Linked DNA regions of Drosophila melanogaster. The protein of the gene in region 1 interacts with the protein of each later gene in a pairwise test. Each region holds a gene or a part of one and is shown on either strand. Other genes may lie near its edges.

Region 1 (7,448 bases):
TATAACATAGTCTATATTGATTATATTTGTGTATATATATTGATGTGTTTAATATGTGTCTGGATCTCGATCAATTAGTTCCTATGGCAGATGATTTAAGGATTAAATGTGGTCAAAGGCCGTTTGATGTGCAAAATTTCACTTGTTGTATAAGCACCGAACCATTCGAAAACTTTCTGCTGCCCAAACGCATTTAATTTTCATATTTCCAGCCTGATTCCTGATCAGCCCCGGGCCAAGTTTCCCCCTAAAACCCATCGAGGTTAACCCGGCTTTACTCTGCGAGATGATTGATGACGACGCTGTCTGTCTGGCGAAGAAATTCCCCCGAAGAGCGACGAAACTATGGCCACAGTTTCTGGAAAATTAAATCACATCTTAAATCGTTTCGGTGACTTCTGCTGAAATGAGGCCGTTCCCATGGGAGGACAACTGCATCTGTCGTCCGAACTTGGACCCCCGCACTCTCACTCGTACTGCCCATCTGCCGGAATCCTCGTCGCTGAGTGCACATTCGAATCAGATAATTGTAAATTGTGTAAAATAATAAATTTCCAGTTAACTATCAACGGACCGCATAGGGCGCTTCTATTCCGTCCCTTTCTCGCTGCCCACTGACGGCTCTCCTTGTCCTCAGCTGCATCCCGGCAGCGTCATTATGACCATTGCGGCGATGCCTCTTGGATGCAGGTTCAGGTCCTGGTCCAGGTCCTGGCAGGTCCGGCTGCTTCATGCAACGCTCGACTTGGCCCGACCGAACTGGACACACACCGAAACCGAACGAAAGAGACGGCTAGACGGCGTGCGACAGAGAGGGCTGCCGCTCGCATTCAGGCGCAAGCGGATCCAAAACAGAAAATGTCAAATTTTGTAATTTATTACCCGAATCCTGTTTCTGTCAGTGACTCTTTGGGTGTTTCGCTTCAGCAGCGGCACACACGGGGGCATTCAGCATTCAGGGTCGCCGAGCGGGGAAGGGAGAAGTCCTTTGTCACACACTGCGTCTGAATTTGTGGCCCAGTTCCGCACAGTGGTATCTAGCAGATACTTTTTGTAATATTTGTAAGAATGCACAGAACTTCGTTACATTCAGAGATTTCTAGTTTCTAGTCAGATGACTAAATACAATATTATGTGTCAAAGTAATTAATTTTGTTTTTGAATAAATTTCTAAAATATCAGCTTGCCTTTAACGTAAATATAGCCTTTTCTACCTATCTTTATCTGATATAAAAAAGTAGCATTTGAAATGCTGTTGTTGCAATGGTATCGAATTGGTATTAAAGCTCTGGCCCTGTTTAATTTGTATTTGTAGTCAGAGCAACCACTGTACCTTTGTGTGTATCCTTGGGCTTTGCCTATGCGAACGTATTTTGTTTGCCTTTTGGCTGCACTCCGACTCCGTCGACTGGAGTGTCTGTGAATTGACTTTTGTTGCCAGTTGGCAGCGGCAGAAGCAGCAAAGCCCGGCCAACAGCAACAAGCTCCTGCCAGATCCCAAAAGCAAACACGACAATTATTTGGCAAATGTCATTAAAAAATATTTCACTTAAGGCCTTGCGACACTTGCTTAAAGGTCAACTGGCTCGTTGGGTGTGTTTTAAAATGTTAAAGCTTGGGCCAATGCACTGAGCAACTTAATGCTTGTAGATATTTACACAATATTCTTCAACGCTAAACATATCGAATTTTCCAAATATGGAGCCTGAAAATAATAATTGCCAATCCTAGCTTAACATCAGAAATGAGTAGAACAACTTAAAAAAAATTAACAAAAGAATCGAACGCTACAGCTAATTAACTCGACAACTGGTTACCTTTTATTCTTCTAATACATTTTATAATGCACTGCCTAACAGGTACATATAGCAAGCACTATATGCTGTCTTACAAAACGATTATATGATATTTTCTTTCGTACGTAGCCGTTTGAGATCATTTGGAAAAACAAACTCGATCTCCACCATCCTTATTCTTTGTCCCAAGTCCTTATATATCTCGCGATACTAAGATTGAATAATGTAGTTATTAATAGCGGAAGTATGTAACAGAATAAACTACAAAGTGCACATTTTGTTCAATTCAGGCTGGACTGGACTGGAGCATATTAATATTATAATATTAACAAAAATTCAAATTAAACATTCGACACTTGTCTAATTGATTCCTAAATTTGGGGTGCCTGTTTGTTAATTAAATGTTAATATTATGAAGTTCCAAACAGAGCAAAGAGTTTAAGTTTAATTGGTTCTACTTATTTGTTACAATATTCAAGCTTTTTTTTATTATTATTCTCAAATGCAAATCTCTACAAATAAATAAACCTCCGACGTTTTAGAACATTCACCTTTTGTCAGTGAGCACAACCTTTCAATACAGCCCGACAGGGGGCTCTCTACTGCTGTCTCTTCACGCCCCCTGGTGAAAACGCTGTGCACTCAATCGGTTTGCAGCTTTGCCGTACTGTTCGATTAAAAACTTTTAAATTAGAGGCAAACATTTAAAAATAAAATGTCCAAATATTTGTCTAAAATGTATTGTAGACGCTTATTGATTTTTAAATTACTCAAAAGAATGAACATCGAGGGAGGGCCGCCAATTGTGCCATCTCTACATCTCTTCGCTCATCCCTAAATAACGGCACTCTGCAGATGCGAAGCAGTGGATCGCAAAAACGCAAAATGTGGGCGAAATAAGTTCGCGAGCGTCTCGAAAGTAACCGGTTACTGAAAATACAAGAAAGTTTCCACACTCCTTTGCCATTTTTCCGCGCGGCGCTTGGAAATTCGTAAAGATAACGCGGCGGAGTGTTTGGGGAAAATGGCGCAACCGCCGCCAGATCAAAACTTTTACCATCATCCGCTGCCCCACACGCACACACATCCGCATCCGCACTCCCATCCGCATCCGCACTCGCATCCGCACCCACATCACCAACATCCGCAGCTTCAGTTGCCGCCACAATTCCGAAATCCCTTCGATTTGGTGAGTTCCCATCGCAGCAGAGAAGGGCTCTTGTCCCAGGAAAGCTACAGTACAGATTCCCTATGGTGAACAAACAACCAGTGCGATCACTGATGACCATAAACATTTATTGAGCCGCAGCAAATGTGTTTCTAGAACATAGGGCGAAATCTTCTATTATCTTGTTTGTGACTTTTAAAGTATCGTAGCAGAATCTAAAAACCAATTGATATTATTAATCGTTACAGTTAGTATAGTATATAATTGTATATGAATTGTGGGGCATCATGTTATTAGTGATTTGCCGAAATGTTCTAAAAGGTGTTTCATTGAAATGGACGAATGTTAAACCTGTTGCACTCACACCGACAATCAGTAATGTCTATTTTTCAAAAGCCACATCTATGGCCACTGGGTATACATTATTGACTTTATACACTTCATACAACATATTTTCTAAAACAAGCATTGTTGTCCTGCATGATGATTAGTGAAAGTAATATTGCAAGATTCGGTCCCCGAAGCGAATCGTCCTTTCACGTTTTTATATAAAGACAGTGTACCCCTTGATTCTTTGAAGCTTTTCGATGAGCGAACGGGAGCGATAAACTACAACTACATACGTCCGTATCTGCCCAACCAGATGCCCAAGCCAGGTGAGCTCAAAGCCAACAAAGTCAGCCATCGTCTTATCAGATGTCTTTCCCTCAGAGGAGCTGCCCGACTCTCTGGTGATGCGGCGACCACGTCGCACCCGCACCACTTTTACCAGCTCTCAAATAGCAGAGCTGGAGCAGCACTTTCTGCAGGGACGATACCTCACAGCCCCCCGACTTGCGGATCTGTCAGCGAAACTAGCCCTGGGCACAGCCCAGGTGAAGATATGGTTTAAGAACCGTCGGCGTCGTCACAAGATCCAATCGGATCAGCACAAGGACCAGTCCTACGAGGGGATGCCTCTCTCGCCGGGTATGAAACAGAGCGATGGCGATCCCCCCAGCTTGCAGACTCTTAGCTTGGGTGGAGGAGCCACGCCCAACGCTTTGACTCCGTCACCCACGCCCTCAACGCCCACTGCACACATGACGGAGCACTACAGCGAGTCATTCAACGCCTACTACAACTACAATGGAGGCCACAATCACGCCCAGGCCAATCGTCACATGCACATGCAGTATCCTTCCGGAGGGGGGCCAGGACCTGGGTCGACCAATGTCAATGGCGGCCAGTTCTTCCAGCAGCAGCAGGTCCATAATCACCAGCAGCAACTGCACCACCAGGGCAACCACGTGCCGCACCAGATGCAGCAGCAGCAACAGCAGGCTCAGCAGCAGCAATACCATCACTTTGACTTCCAGCAAAAGCAAGCCAGCGCCTGTCGCGTCCTGGTCAAGGACGAACCGGAGGCCGACTACAACTTCAACAGCTCGTACTACATGCGATCGGGAATGTCTGGCGCCACTGCATCGGCATCCGCTGTGGCCCGAGGCGCTGCCTCGCCGGGCTCCGAGGTCTACGAGCCATTAACACCCAAGAATGACGAAAGTCCGAGTCTGTGTGGCATCGGCATCGGCGGACCTTGCGCCATCGCCGTTGGCGAGACGGAGGCGGCCGACGACATGGACGACGGAACGAGCAAGAAGACGACGCTACAGGTCAGGCATGAGTCCACAACCTTTTTTGATCTCTTGATTCTGAGTGTGGCGTTTATAAATTGAAGCTTTAAGCTTTGTAACTTTCAAACTGTCTGGTTTGAGATGTTATTCTGAAAGTACTTCTATTTCCGATCGATGAGATTTGGGAGTTCTCCAATATTTAACATTTAACTTATTAAGTTTTTGTTTTCTAAATTAGACATGGCATTTCTGAAAGGGAAGTACAAGTGTTAAAGATGTATTTTAATATAGAATTTGTATCAAAGGTTAAGATTTCAACCGTTTGAAAGCCCTTAGTTTTCAGGGTTTTTTACTTTTTTATTCATGTAATCACTCTTAATACACTGCAAGTTAAAATAGCATTTCTTTGACCAGAAAAATAAGATCTATGCATTTTAAAAGTGAAAACAGACTCATATGCTGATGAACATTTTTAGCTATAAATTGTAACAATAATTTAGCAATTTCAATCGAATTTATTTATGTTCTAAATGCGTTCGCTCTCTCCCTAGATCTTGGAGCCTTTGAAGGGTCTGGACAAGAGCTGCGACGATGGCAGTAGCGACGACATGAGCACCGGAATAAGAGCCTTAGCAGGAACCGGAAATCGTGGAGCGGCATTTGCCAAATTTGGCAAGCCTTCGCCCCCACAAGGCCCTCAGCCGCCCCTCGGAATGGGGGGCGTGGCCATGGGCGAATCGAACCAATATCAATGCACGATGGATACGATAATGCAAGCGTATAATCCCCATCGGAACGCCGCGGGCAACTCGCAGTTTGCCTACTGCTTCAATTAGCCTGGATGAGAGGCGTGTTAGAGAGTTTCATTAGCTTTAGGTTAACCACTGTTGTTCCTGATTGTACAAATACCAAGTGATTGTAGATATCTACGCGTAGAAAGTTAGGTCTAGTCCTAAGATCCGTGTAAATGGTTCCCAGGGAAGTTTTATGTACTAGCCTAGTCAGCAGGCCGCACGGATTCCAGTGCATATCTTAGTGATACTCCAGTTAACTCTATACTTTCCCTGCAATACGCTATTCGCCTTAGATGTATCTGGGTGGCTGCTCCACTAAAGCCCGGGAATATGCAACCAGTTACATTTGAGGCCATTTGGGCTTAAGCGTATTCCATGGAAAGTTATCGTCCCACATTTCGGAAATTATATTCCGAGCCAGCAAGAAAATCTTCTCTGTTACAATTTGACATAGCTAAAAACTGTACTAATCAAAATGAAAAATGTTTCTCTTGGGCGTAATCTCATACAATGATTACCCTTAAAGATCGAACATTTAAACAATAATATTTGATATGATATTTTCAATTTCTATGCTATGCCAAAGTGTCTGACATAATCAAACATTTGCGCATTCTTTGACCAAGAATAGTCAGCAAATTGTATTTTCAATCAATGCAGACCATTTGTTTCAGATTCGGAGATTTTTTGCTGCCAAACGGAATAACTATCATAGCTCACATTCTATTTACATCACTAAGAAGAGCATTGCAATCTGTTAGGCCTCAAGTTTAATTTTAAAATGCTGCACCTTTGATGTTGTCTCTTTAAGCTTTGTATTTTTAATTACGAAAATATATAAGAACTACTCTACTCGGGTAAATTGTGACTAACTACACATAACTACATACTTAGCCCATATTTCCGTCCCTTTCTAGAATGAACGAAAACAGTATCTGGTTTTCCCGAAAATCTTATGAATTTAAAAATGCACTTTATTGCACATACTCACACATGCCTGCCATAAAATATGATTCGCGATTTTTCCGCGAACACCCGCGGATCATAAAACATTTGCACCAGCTGCCTGTGTTTATTCACCTACCTGAAACCCATACTCTTATCGCCTGATCCTCGCGCGGTCGCACTATTTAGGTAGACACTGTACAGGCAGCACTCGCGGGGCGCCGCCAGGCAACTTGTTGCCCCTATTTTCTTTGATATAAGTTTTGGGAAATCCAGAAGTCCAATAACGGGGCCTATATGAACGAATATTGATTGGGTTTCTCCCAGTTATAGAGTTTTTATTGATCTTGGGCGCGTTTTAGTAGGTGGATTATGGATGTCCTGGGAAAACCAAGCTCTGAATCCATTCTTACTTATCACAAGACTTGTTTTCCTGTGCCCTTCATCACACCTAGTTTAACTACTATAATTAATAAACTACTTTTTAATCCGCCATTTATGAAGATAATTTATAGCATCTATGCATCTTTCAAATATCGCGAGATATCGCAAAGTATTCATAAATTAGTTTTTTATTGATATTGTAAAGCTTTTTAATTTGGTTCAGGTTTTTATTGTAAATACTTTTCACAATTGTGCACAGTGACCCATTAACATGGTTGCGATATTAACTTAAGACTTAAACAAGTTAATTAAGAGTTTTAGCACTTCTTTTCAAAAGATCATGTTTTAATTATGTTTTTAAATGAATCTTTTCGACAATTCTAAAAATATTATTTCGAAAATGTTAATTTTCATATATAACCTAAGTAAAGATATTTTCAACTGTACCTCACTCTCGCCGCGACATTTCCACACGGTTATCCTGTTATGACTTTTCCTTTGTTCCAACGTATTTTTAGCGAATTCTCGGAAGGAGAAAATCCGATAGCGCCAGTAATAAAATTTGCGAACAATTCCCTAGTTCGAGGACTGAGGATGGGAAGGCCTATGGACCGGAGACCCGAGACAGATTCGCATTCGCCGCGTCGGAGACTTGAGCATATACTCCTTGGAAACAAGCAGAGCCATAAACTGTCCAAATCGAGCATGAAACCCCGAGGAGCATCCTTTCTCACAGCGCTGCTTT
Region 2 (8,228 bases), on another chromosome or scaffold:
ACGAAAACCAAATTTTTGGTTTGGAGTTTGAAAACTCAAGTAGGTCCCAAACATTGATTTTGTTTTAAACGACCCCGTTGCAACTCATGATCCTCCAAGTGGTACCCTGGGTACCGATTTCAAAATTTTAATCAAAAGCTAAAAGCAAAAAGATTTTTAATTTGACTGCTAAGTAACGGATATGTAATAGTCGGGCAACTTGATTATTGCGTCCTCTCTTGTTTTAATTTGATGTCGGACTATATTTAAATACCTAAAAGCGTAAAAATAACTACATATTAATGCACAAACAATAAAATTGAATGCATACTAACTTTTCTTATGCTTAAAATATTACAAATGTGTGTATATTATTAGTTTAAGTTTCAAATTAGTGAGTAAATGAATTTTTCACATTTCTTTATCTTTAAGTCATTTTTGAAAGGCAGGTGGTAATTGTGAGCCTGCACTAGTTTTAGGAGATAATAATTACGTGTTTATTTTAAACAAAATCGGAAGGTACTAGTCAGTAAGCATTAATTATTATTTTTTAAATAAGGCAAATATGTATATTTTAAAATATGAAATACATGTATGTATGTCCGTATAAATAAAACCGTGAAATCAAATGTCGATTAAGTCATTTGACATAGCCAAGCCAGGAAATTTGCGGCTGATCCAAAAATATCTACCTGAGTGTAGCATAGGTGGGATAAATTTGGGCAATACGACCAAGATCGTCATCGTTCTCCAATTGGGAATCCTTCCGTGTACGCCGAACTGGTAGGCTGGGCATCGCTTAGCTTCGAACCCAATTACGAATATAGCAAATTTATACGCGGTATTTGTAGCTTTCCCAGGATAACAACACAATCCGCATAGACGGAATCTGCGATCAGGGGTGATCAAACGTTAGAATTTGCACAACATTTGGGTTTGTTTACCTTTTTGAAGTTCGAGATCGTAATTGCTTGTCTTGTGAGACGTAGATAGTTTTCAACGTTGGGGGTACTCCGGCCTTGGTTGTTAACCGCAACCAAATACTTAGCATGCAATTGGCGCAGTCGAATGACGGAAATTCACATTCCCTAAGTGCTCGTTAAATAGAAGTTAAAATACTAGAATTGTATACATATACTGAATCACTTGGTGAAAGAAATATAAAATGTTTGTTATCACTGATAAATTTTAATATACATTTTTAAATTCAATCAAAGTCAATTCCATATTATCTGTACTTCATTAAAAAATATAATATTATTAAAACAATACGATCCCCACCGGCGTTGTATATTTTCACCGATTTTACGTGTTTCATTCATTCTTGAGTTTCCCCTGATACGTGTCTGCGTGCTGCTGGATGTTCTTTGAGTTTTGTAAAATTTTATTTAAGTCAATGATCACTTGAGCGGTAAGGTTTGAAAATATGTTCACTAGCCTAAGTGCATGATTCAAAGAAAAATATACATAACATTTTCTACGTTAAAAAGAAGCATCTCGACTGATTTGGTTGTTTCGCTCTATCAAGCTCACGTTTCGGTTTTCCATTATTATGTAATTTGAGTGATATATATCGATTTTTAAGAATTTAACACACATTATAGAAACATAAAAAATATAGAAACATAATAAAATTATAGTGCCATCACTCGCGTTTATATTAATAATAAAAGAAAGAATACTATAGTCGAGTTCCAAGGCTATCAAATAACCGTTACCAGCTAGTGTGAATACAAACGCGAAATTGCATCAATTTTATGGAATATCGATAGATAATGGGATATAAAATGATAAAAAATTTCAAAATTGTTCCAAAGTGTGGCATTAGGGCGTTAGAGTGCGCGTGGCAAAAATTTTATTGACAAATCGATAGAAATTAAAAAGACTAATTAAATTATAGTCAGATCGACTAGGATATTGGTCCTGATCAAGAATATATATACCTTAAATGGTCGGAATACGAAAATACGACTAACGGTTATAATAAATTCATCACCACATTACTAGAAGTAATTACTATTAAATAGAAAGCGCTTACACTGCTCATAATCTTGTTATTACATTTTATAATGTTTAACGAATGCTATCTATGCTTTAAATTGAAATACTTGTTATCCAGTAGGATTATACATAATGAATTATTTCAATATACCATTTAACAACAAAACAAATTGCGCAATTCCCATCACTAATCCCTATGCTTGGTTTGATATCTCCAAAACATGGAAATGCGATTCCAGTGTAAACATCCCATTTGTTCCTCGTAACAGTCAAAGGACGGCCAAAACCACGTGTAAATATATCTGTTTAATTATATCCCAAAATTAAGTCACCAAAACTAGCAAACGCACAAAAAATATTCAGTTTGACCCGCAAGAGATCGAAAATTTTTGCGTTATCTATTTACCAATAAAGTTGTTCCATATACTCAAAATCGTCGTGGTCTTGGTGTAAAAGGGGCTTCCAATAAAGTTTTTTTCTTCATCGTCGTAGACATGGTAACACTGCAAGTGAACATAAAAATCGAAAACTGATTTATTTACAATAAACAAAAGCGCTTATCGGCTCCAGGACGCGCATATGCTGACAACCATTTGGCTAAAGGTTTAACACAAATTCCTTCCAACGACGCGGACTACTGGTAGTACCCGCAGCCTAAATTGCCGCGATGCCGTGCTGGTATTACGACAAAAAGGAGCTGCGGGAGACGCCCTCGATCTTGGATGGAATAAGCTTCGAAACGGAGCGGCGGTACAGAAAAGAAGGTGCTCGATTTATTATGGAATGTGGCACCAAAATGGGCTTGGGCCACAACACGATGGCCACCGGCGTTGTATATTTTCACCGATTTTACATGTTTCATTCGTTCCGGAGTTTCCCCCGGTACGTGACTGCGTGCTGCTGCCTGTTCTTTGCTGGCAAGGTGGAGGAGACGCCAAAGAAGTGTCGCGACATTATTAAAACTGCGCGTGGCATCCTTACCGACAATTACTTCTACTCGTTTGGCGACGACCCTAAGGAGGAGGTGATGACGCTAGAGCGTATTCTGCTGCAGACCATCAAATTCGATTTGCAAGTAGAGCATCCTTACACCTTTCTCCTAAAGTACGCTAAGTGTTTCAAAGGCGACCAGCAGAAGCTGCAAAAGATGGTGCAAATGGCGTGGAACTTCGTCAACGACTCTCTCAGCACAGTAGTTTGTCTACAGTGGGAGCCGGAGATTATCGCCGTGGCTCTTATCCATTTGGCCAGCAAGCTAAGCAAATTCACTGTGCAAGACTGGGAGGGCCGCCAGCCACAGCAGCAGCGTTGGTGGGATATGTTTGTGTCTGATGTAACGATGGAAATACTCGAAGACATCTGCCACCAAGTTCTGGACCTGTACCAATCAACCCAAAAAGAAGCGCTCCAGCCAACCAGTCCGCCCCAAAAGCCACCAAGCAGAGCCGACAGTCCAAAATCCGGCAAGCTTACCAATTCTACGGGTATTGGACCACTTTCCGTTCCACAACAGCCGCCGCCCCCCGTATGTGGCAACGGTGGCGTGCTGGAAGTTAGCAACATTCAGAGCATTAAATCCCTAGCCAGTGGCGTGCCAATCATTGGTCCTAGCGACTCCCAGAACCTGTTACAGGGCCCAACACCACCAGGTCAGCCATCCGGGTACCACATTTATCATGCTCCTCCACCGCCGCCCCCGCCGGTAGTGCCTATGCCGCCGTACCCCTCTTCCGGATGGGGAGTCCAGCAGACAGTGGTCGGACACTATAGCGGGAGCGCTGCACCACCACCACCAATGCCGCCTAGCTTGCCTCCAGGAGCCAGTGGATACTACAACGCCGGTGGGCGTCCATCGCAGCAGCGCTACTAGTAGATGCAATGACTAATAAACAAGTAAAAAAAATTTGTATATTAAAACTAGCGAACCGTTCGGAATAGGATTTAGAGCGGGGATCTTCGTACGGTTCGGTTTTCTTTTTTGGTTACACTCTAGGCCCAATATTGTCCCGGGGTATTTATCAATGATTTTTATTCCCTTATTTTAAGTCCTTACCCTTTCACATGTACTTGTTAGCAGAATTTTGCTGAAATGATGTTTCCAAAACTGAATAAAACCAAATGAACTAGAAAAAAATATTTTGGACATTGGGGCACTAACAAAAATAGATTCTTATTAAAATTGGCGAAACGTTGAGACAAAGCGGAATTGGAGTAACGGCGAAGTTTATAACAGTGGAAGATAAACATGAGAAATATGTGAGAACAATTTTTCAAAAGTGTGGGCGTGGCAGTTTTGGGGGTTTTGTATGTAAAAGGAGGGGCGTGGCCAGTGTTTTTGGTATGCAGATAAAAATTGGCAAGTCAAACAATAAAACGAAGAAAAATCTAAAAATTTTTAAATAGTGTGGCGCTATGTGTCTCCGCAAACTGTATGCTTAATCTCAACCATCTAGCTTTTATAGTTCATGAGATCTCGACGTTCATACGGACAGACGGACAGTCGGAAAGTCAGATATGGCCAGATCGACTCGACTATTGATCCTGATCAAGAATATATATACTTTATATGGTCGGAAACGCTTCCTTCTGCCTGTTACATACATACTTACAACGAATCTTGCACCTTTTACTCTACGATTAATGGGTATAATAACTCTTTAGATGTTTGAATAATTTTTGGAATGATACATAGTGTGCGAAGATTGCTCGGCTATCAGAAACAACAGTGCAGTTTTGCAGTTTCCATGGACTTTATTCTTGCCCATGGTACACTTGGAATAATAACGACTGCCCAGGCTACCTCGATTCGTATGTTTATTATAAATATAATTATGTCGTAGGCCAACGGTTTCGTTTTCCAGGCTAAAGACGAAAATGTTCGAAAATAATATTATTGACTTTGTTCGATGTTCTTCAATTTAATTTAATTTTTAAATGGTGTTAAAAATAATTAATTTCCTTTTATCTTTCAAATTTTATAAAGTCGATTTCTCTGAAACCAGGCTCTTTGATGTGATACTTACCGCGCTCTGCTTTCGAAACATCAACTACTTTGTCTCAGTTCGTTGACTTGCTTCGTTACAAACGTCTCGATCTTTTCGCTAAAAGATCTAGCTGACTTTTAGTTCTCCCGCGCTCTAGGTCCAAGGACCTCTATTTCACCAAAGACACTATGATAATTTTAGTAATTTATAAATTAACTAAACAAAATAATTTTAGTTTGGTATTATTCTAGTGTTGCTTTACCGTAAGTTGGCTATATTTAGACCAGGTATTCGGATACTTCATTTTTATAACAATTGCAAATATAGTGGTAAAACACGAAAAAATTAACAAAATATTTTTGCGGTTATACATAAATTTTTCAATGCAGAAATAATTTCTCAGAAATAATAAAATATTATATAAATATCAATATGAAGAATATGAATAAGCTTTAGAGTATTACTTATTGCCGTTTTATCAAGGGCTAAATAACACATCTAAATAAATAGTGCAATAGGAAAAGGAAAGTTTTATATTATATATTAAGGTTTAAAGCTAGGGCATAATCTATTAGACTAAAATTTACATTGTGTTCTGATCACTACCCACTTATTGCCATATATGTTGCAGGAAAGGTCTTCCGTTGATGTTTTTCGCCAGAATGCTATGGTACTTCCAATGAAGCTGAGTTTTTGTCAAGGGATCTACACGTTTGTCGACCTTGTGAAAGACAAAAGCCAGTTCTGACTGGATTAAAAGTTTGCATTTGTTTGTGCTCTACTAGTATGCCTGGCATACAGTTCTGTACAGTTCAAGTCTTCAAGTCGTTATGATATAGGACCACCTCTGTCGAAGGGAATAAATTAAGATCGTACTTGTCAATACTCCAACTAATTTTATTGAGTAAATCTAACAGTACTTAAGAGTAAGAGTTAAGATTCACATAATATGCTTATGCCAACAGAATTGTGTAAGACAACAAATTTTGGGTAAGTGGTAATGCTATATAGCCAACTGGACAGAACATGTTTATGCCAGTAAGTCGTTCACGACCTGAAAAACGATAGTCCGTGTTGGACTAACACTTTTACCTGAAAAATAACATTCTCCTGGCCGTTGAAGTGTTAAATAAGTAATTAAAGAAGATTGAATTTTAAATTTAAAACAGCAGAAATTCTTGATTTGTTTTTTAGTAGCCGGCTTACTAACTATACGCGTGACTCGTATAGAGAGAGTATACTAGATTCGTTGTAAAGTAACAGTGACATTCATACGTGCTAGAAACTAACTTGTGAGTTTTAAAGCAACACAAAAATTTGGACCAGCAAGAAATATGTCGTTCTATACGCAGGGAACTCTTAGTAGAAACTTATCAGCTAATTCAATGTAGTTATAAACCGCTTGCAAGATCCCTTTCTTATAAAAAGCATAGAGTATAATAAAATTCTGATTGTCTTAATTCGAATGTAGAGCCTTTTTCCTGTCTTTGAGCTGGCCCACCAATCCGAGAAATATTTTTTCCAATATATGTGTGGTGTGTATCTCATACTGTTTTGTTTTCAGACATGTATATATATATAACGCTAAAGTAAGATTAAAAACGAAAGGCGGGTAACAACGAAGACGAAAGAAGAATTCAGGAAGATGATGATCAACTGAGATGAGTTGAGTTAGAAAATGTTTTTTATTATATTATTTTTATTTATATTATCCAAAAATCTGCAGTAGCAATTATGTTGCGTCACGGCCCTTGAACGACGTGCAGAACACAGCCAGCCTTATGAGAAAAGTTTAAGCACTTGGATTGCAGTCGTTAAAAATTCTTGCTGTCAAACAATTAAAAAACTGTGACCTTATGTTACCCTTGCTGGCCATGTTTGTTTTAAATAGGCTTCTGTGTCACAATTATTTCTAACGCATGGCGCTCACTCGCTAGCAAAACAATCTAATGCAAAATTCGAATAACAAAACAAGAGAGAATGCTATATATTTCCCTTATATGACCGGAAAACTATGTACCTGTTACATATGTTTCAACGACTCTAGTATACCTTTCTACTCTACAAGTAACGGGTATAATTACATATGTATATGTACATATGTACATACATACATATGTATTACGTATTCCGTAAACAAATATGCACATTACAATATAAGGCGTTGATAGGCGAGGCAGATACATATATTTGTATTGATACCTGTATATTATGGCCTACATAGAAAACATTTTTGAGCTTTAAACACCAACTAAACTTTGAGTTTCTTTATTTTCTTTTTTTTTTAGAGCGGAGAGACTTTTGAACCCGACTTAAGCGGTGGGTCACGGCCATGCGATCACCTGATTTAATATGGAAGATGACTTATTAAAAAAAATTAAACAATAAAACTGGGCTAAGCACTTCTAGAGAGATGATGTGTATCCGGCTTAATGTGAAAATAAATGAGTGGTTGTGCAAATACGTCCTAACATTTGCGGGTTAGAGTCAGTACCCCACTCATGTAATACTGCGGGATCATTAAATATTCGGGCAGGGTGCGTTTACAAAAGGAGGTTGACGACGATGCCTGTGCTTGTGTGGATGCTGCTACTGTTGCCTGACGCACGATGTGACCAACCTTTCCTGAAAAAAATAGAATGTTATTTTGTAAAAAAAAATAACAATTTAATACAATTTGAAATGACTTGTATTCTGCGTTAACCTTACAAAAATTGTTACGCCCACTGGCTAAGTAACGGAAATCTGAAATTTGAATAAATCGACTATAAGATTCTCTCGTCATTAATTGACTTCCCTAAAGTTCTTAGGGTAGCAATTATGTAGTCTCACGGACTAGCCTAATTAAGGTCAAATTGCTTCCCTCTTGCGTATATTGGCAAAATTTCATTAGTTTACAATTAAAGAAAAGAACTTGTTTAGTGTCTCTGTGTCAGGGGTAACAATACTTACTAATCCATATATATATATTTGTATATCTATCGATATTCCAGAAAAATTATGAAATTTCGCGATCGCATTTCTACTAGCTGAGTAACGGGTATCTTAAAATCGGCGAAGCCGACTATAGCGTTCTATTTTATGATTAGAAAACATTTTTCTTACTGAATATGTAAATATGTAATATATCAATACCGAGTAAAACTTTTATATACAAACTATGAAAAAACAACTCTATAGAACATCTTACCCATCACGTTTGCGCAATGAAAGCGGTCATCTAGTTGCTGAAGGAGGGAAAGATCTCGACAACGTGCCCAGGCA
Region 3 (2,812 bases), 610 kb from region 1:
GAAATATTTTTTCGTCCTAAGTTATTTCTTTGTTAGGTTCAAAGTGAGTATTTCTCAAAGTGTAAGCATGCGAAGTTTTAACAAAATTTTTCTTAGAACTTTACGGAACCATCATGTGTTGCGGACCCCTTGGATTCTGCGGACCCTGTAGCCCGTGCGGCGGTCCTTGCGGACCTTGCGGACCCTGTGGTCCTTGCGGTTCCTGCTGTAGTCCTTGTGGATCTTGCTGTGCGCCTTGCGGCCCTTGCGGTCCTTGCGGTCCTTGCTGCGGGGGCTGTGGTCCATGCGGGCCTTGTGGACCTTGCTGTGGACCTTGTAGGCCATATTGCGGGTGCTGAACAACAACCACAACATGTAAAATATCTTTTTCCTGTGAACCACAAAGTGGAACTTAGGACTGAATGCGGATAAACTCTTCTTAGCTCGCGGGCCTAGTCAATAAAATAAGAATTTCAAAATACCTTTTCCGATGGTTTTTCTCTTCTAAATGGTGCAACCTTTGTCTTAGCTATGGATACCAAATGCGTGACAATAATAATTTATGTAATATAATTGCGAAAATTAAAATTGTCAATTCTTGGTGGATTGCGATCGTTAGAGGGGGCGGAGGAACATCCTACGTTCATATCGACTAGGCTTGTGATCCAGCTCAAGAATAAATAACCTTTTCTTCTATTCACTATAGCATAGCTATTACTCTACGAGTGGCGGGTATAAAACCTGCAACCGTGAATTTAAACCTCATTCAATAATAGTATTTGTCTGCAAACGGACAAATGTCCGATAACAATAATTCTATAACAATAATAACTATTTTTAACCATCAACCGCTGTACATAAACATAATTCGAATTCATAGTAGGCTATGGAAATCGTTCTTGACCTGTCAGACCCACCTAACCTTGTAAGTTCGGAAAATATATCATTCTCATCTCGACCCTTGTGCTGCTCGCATCAAAATTTTGTTGTTTTGTCCCAAATACTTGTTTTTTTTTTTTGGCTTCTAAAGACCGTTGGTAAAAATGTTTATTGTAAAGTTAAAATAGTATACATATTTATTTCGTTTATTTTAGACTTCTCGAATTAATCATGTGCTGTGGACCTTGTGGATCGTGCTGCGGATATTACTGCTGTGGTCCCTGCTGTGGACCTTGTGGACCCCGATGTGGGCCGTGCGGATCCTGCTGTGGACCCTGTGGACCCTGTGGACCTTGTTGCGGACCATTTGGCAGTTGTTGCGGTGGCTGTTGGTGCTAAATGCTCGCAATTGGCAGCCGAATCGATTTGTGAAACCATACCACAATCCCACCATGGTTAAACTAACACCTGAAAGTTAAAAGCCACAAATATATATATATGTATCTTAATGCAGATCCATGTTATCATTGGGATAGTTCACCATTGCTCTTACTCGGCGTTACTCGTTGACATAATAGGAATGCGTTTCGTAATATGTATGTGGGTGTAGGTTTCTTGATCAGGAACACTAGCCGGATACTAAGCGAGCAGATTGTATTGCGCTGCGAGCACAAGTTGCTATATGGAAATGGTTGAGACGTTCTTGGTAATACCATTTTATTTTACACGAATGACGTCTCAAGGTGATTGATTCTGCCTTCCGACGAGCTTCACTAGGACGTTCTTTGTTGTTCCCATCTGGATCAGTTGTACTGCTTGCTACGGCAGGACATTTTCTTAAGCACGTTATTGTAAAATTCACTAAAGAACAAAATTAAATTCCTTTTAGGGCATTGATATAAAATTTTTATTAATTTTGCATTTGTTTATTTTAAATCTAGAAGGCTTTGAATCTATATTCTACTTTCCTGTGCAAGTTCTATGTAAGCAAACATCAGTTTTCATCTTTCCCTTAACCCAAGAACATCAAAATTTGAGCTCTTTTCCAAGCTTTTTAGGTTCAGCACTTTGTACGTAGTTTTTTATTTAAGAAAATTGTTGGTATAATAGCTTTTCTTTTAGTTCTCAGAAATTAAAAAAAAACATGGGCTGTGCACCGGGCGGACCTTGCTGCGGACCCTGTGGACCGTGTTGCGGACCCTGTTGTGGACCCTGTTGTGGACCCTGTTGTGGACCCTGTTGTGGACCTTGCGGGCCCTGCTGTGGCCCCTGTGGACCTCGTTGTGGCCCTTGCGGACCCTGTGGACCGTGCTGTGGCACTATGGAAAAACGAAATGGCCTTCAGCGGTGCTGTCCTTTTTAGCTGTGATTTCCCGAATAAGCAACCAAACTGTGTCCAAAAAAAGATTTCATTAGTCTATTGTGACAAATAAAGGGGAACTATGAAAACTATCAAATTAATGGATCTTAGCAGGGAGCCAATGTAATCATTGCAATTTCATTCATTCACACTCCGTACAAGAACTATAAAGATTACTGCTTTTCCTCTGCTACCTTTGCTTCACAAGCCGATGACGAATGACAAGCCAATCCAAAAAGGCAGTAGCTGAAGAGAGAAGCAATCTCCATAGGACAATCACCATAGGACAATAGACCAGGCTAACACTGAAGCCTGCGGCAATACATTCACACACGTAATAGTTGCATTGGGCTTAAAAGGAGCAGTTGGTTTATGCCAACATGCTCAGGTAATTGGGACGATGCAGTTGGAAAATAAAAAGTAATCCTGCCCTTGCAGCAATTAAATTAGCCAAATAGGGGATGTTAATTAGTGTCAAGTACCTTGAAGTAAATGGTGCCAAAAGAGGCGTGGCCGAGGCCAATCAAAATGATTTCCAAGCAATGTTACTCATACGCCCCATGTAGCTGGTCCCAGTCAATTATTAATGGCTGC

Evidence for each region. The genes of interacting proteins can lie anywhere in the genome.
Region 2: the proteins of bcd (region 1) and CycK interact in a two-hybrid assay, tested with the Drosophila melanogaster proteins (2 studies listed by BioGRID).
Region 3: the proteins of bcd (region 1) and Mst84Dd interact in a two-hybrid assay, tested with the Drosophila melanogaster proteins (2 studies listed by BioGRID).

Annotation. Positions count from the first base shown.
Region 1 is NT_033777.3:6,754,644-6,762,091, reverse strand, and holds bcd (bicoid), read left to right. Parts: upstream 1-2,625; 5' UTR 2,626-2,820; coding exon 2,821-2,985; intron 2,986-3,522; exon of another isoform or gene 3,523-3,544; coding exon 3,545-3,620; intron 3,621-3,660; coding exon 3,661-4,619; intron 4,620-5,131; coding exon 5,132-5,416; 3' UTR 5,417-6,250; downstream 6,251-7,448. UniProt on the Drosophila melanogaster protein: Segment polarity transcription factor that provides positional cues for the development of head and thoracic segments.
Region 2 is NT_033779.5:22,124,143-22,132,370, reverse strand, and holds CycK (cyclin K), read left to right. Parts: upstream 1-2,228; 5' UTR 2,229-2,647; coding exon 2,648-3,850; 3' UTR 3,851-7,431; coding exon of another isoform or gene 7,432-7,589; 3' UTR 7,590-8,086; downstream 8,087-8,228. Other genes in the region: CG3651 (uncharacterized protein), read right to left, coding at 7,432-7,589, 8,155-8,228.
Region 3 is NT_033777.3:7,362,807-7,365,618, reverse strand, and holds Mst84Dd (Male-specific RNA 84Dd), read left to right. Parts: upstream 1-1,845; 5' UTR 1,846-1,928; intron 1,929-1,980; 5' UTR 1,981-2,002; coding exon 2,003-2,221; 3' UTR 2,222-2,312; downstream 2,313-2,812. Other genes in the region: Mst84Db (Male-specific RNA 84Db), read left to right, coding at 114-338; Mst84Dc (Male-specific RNA 84Dc), read left to right, coding at 1,090-1,257.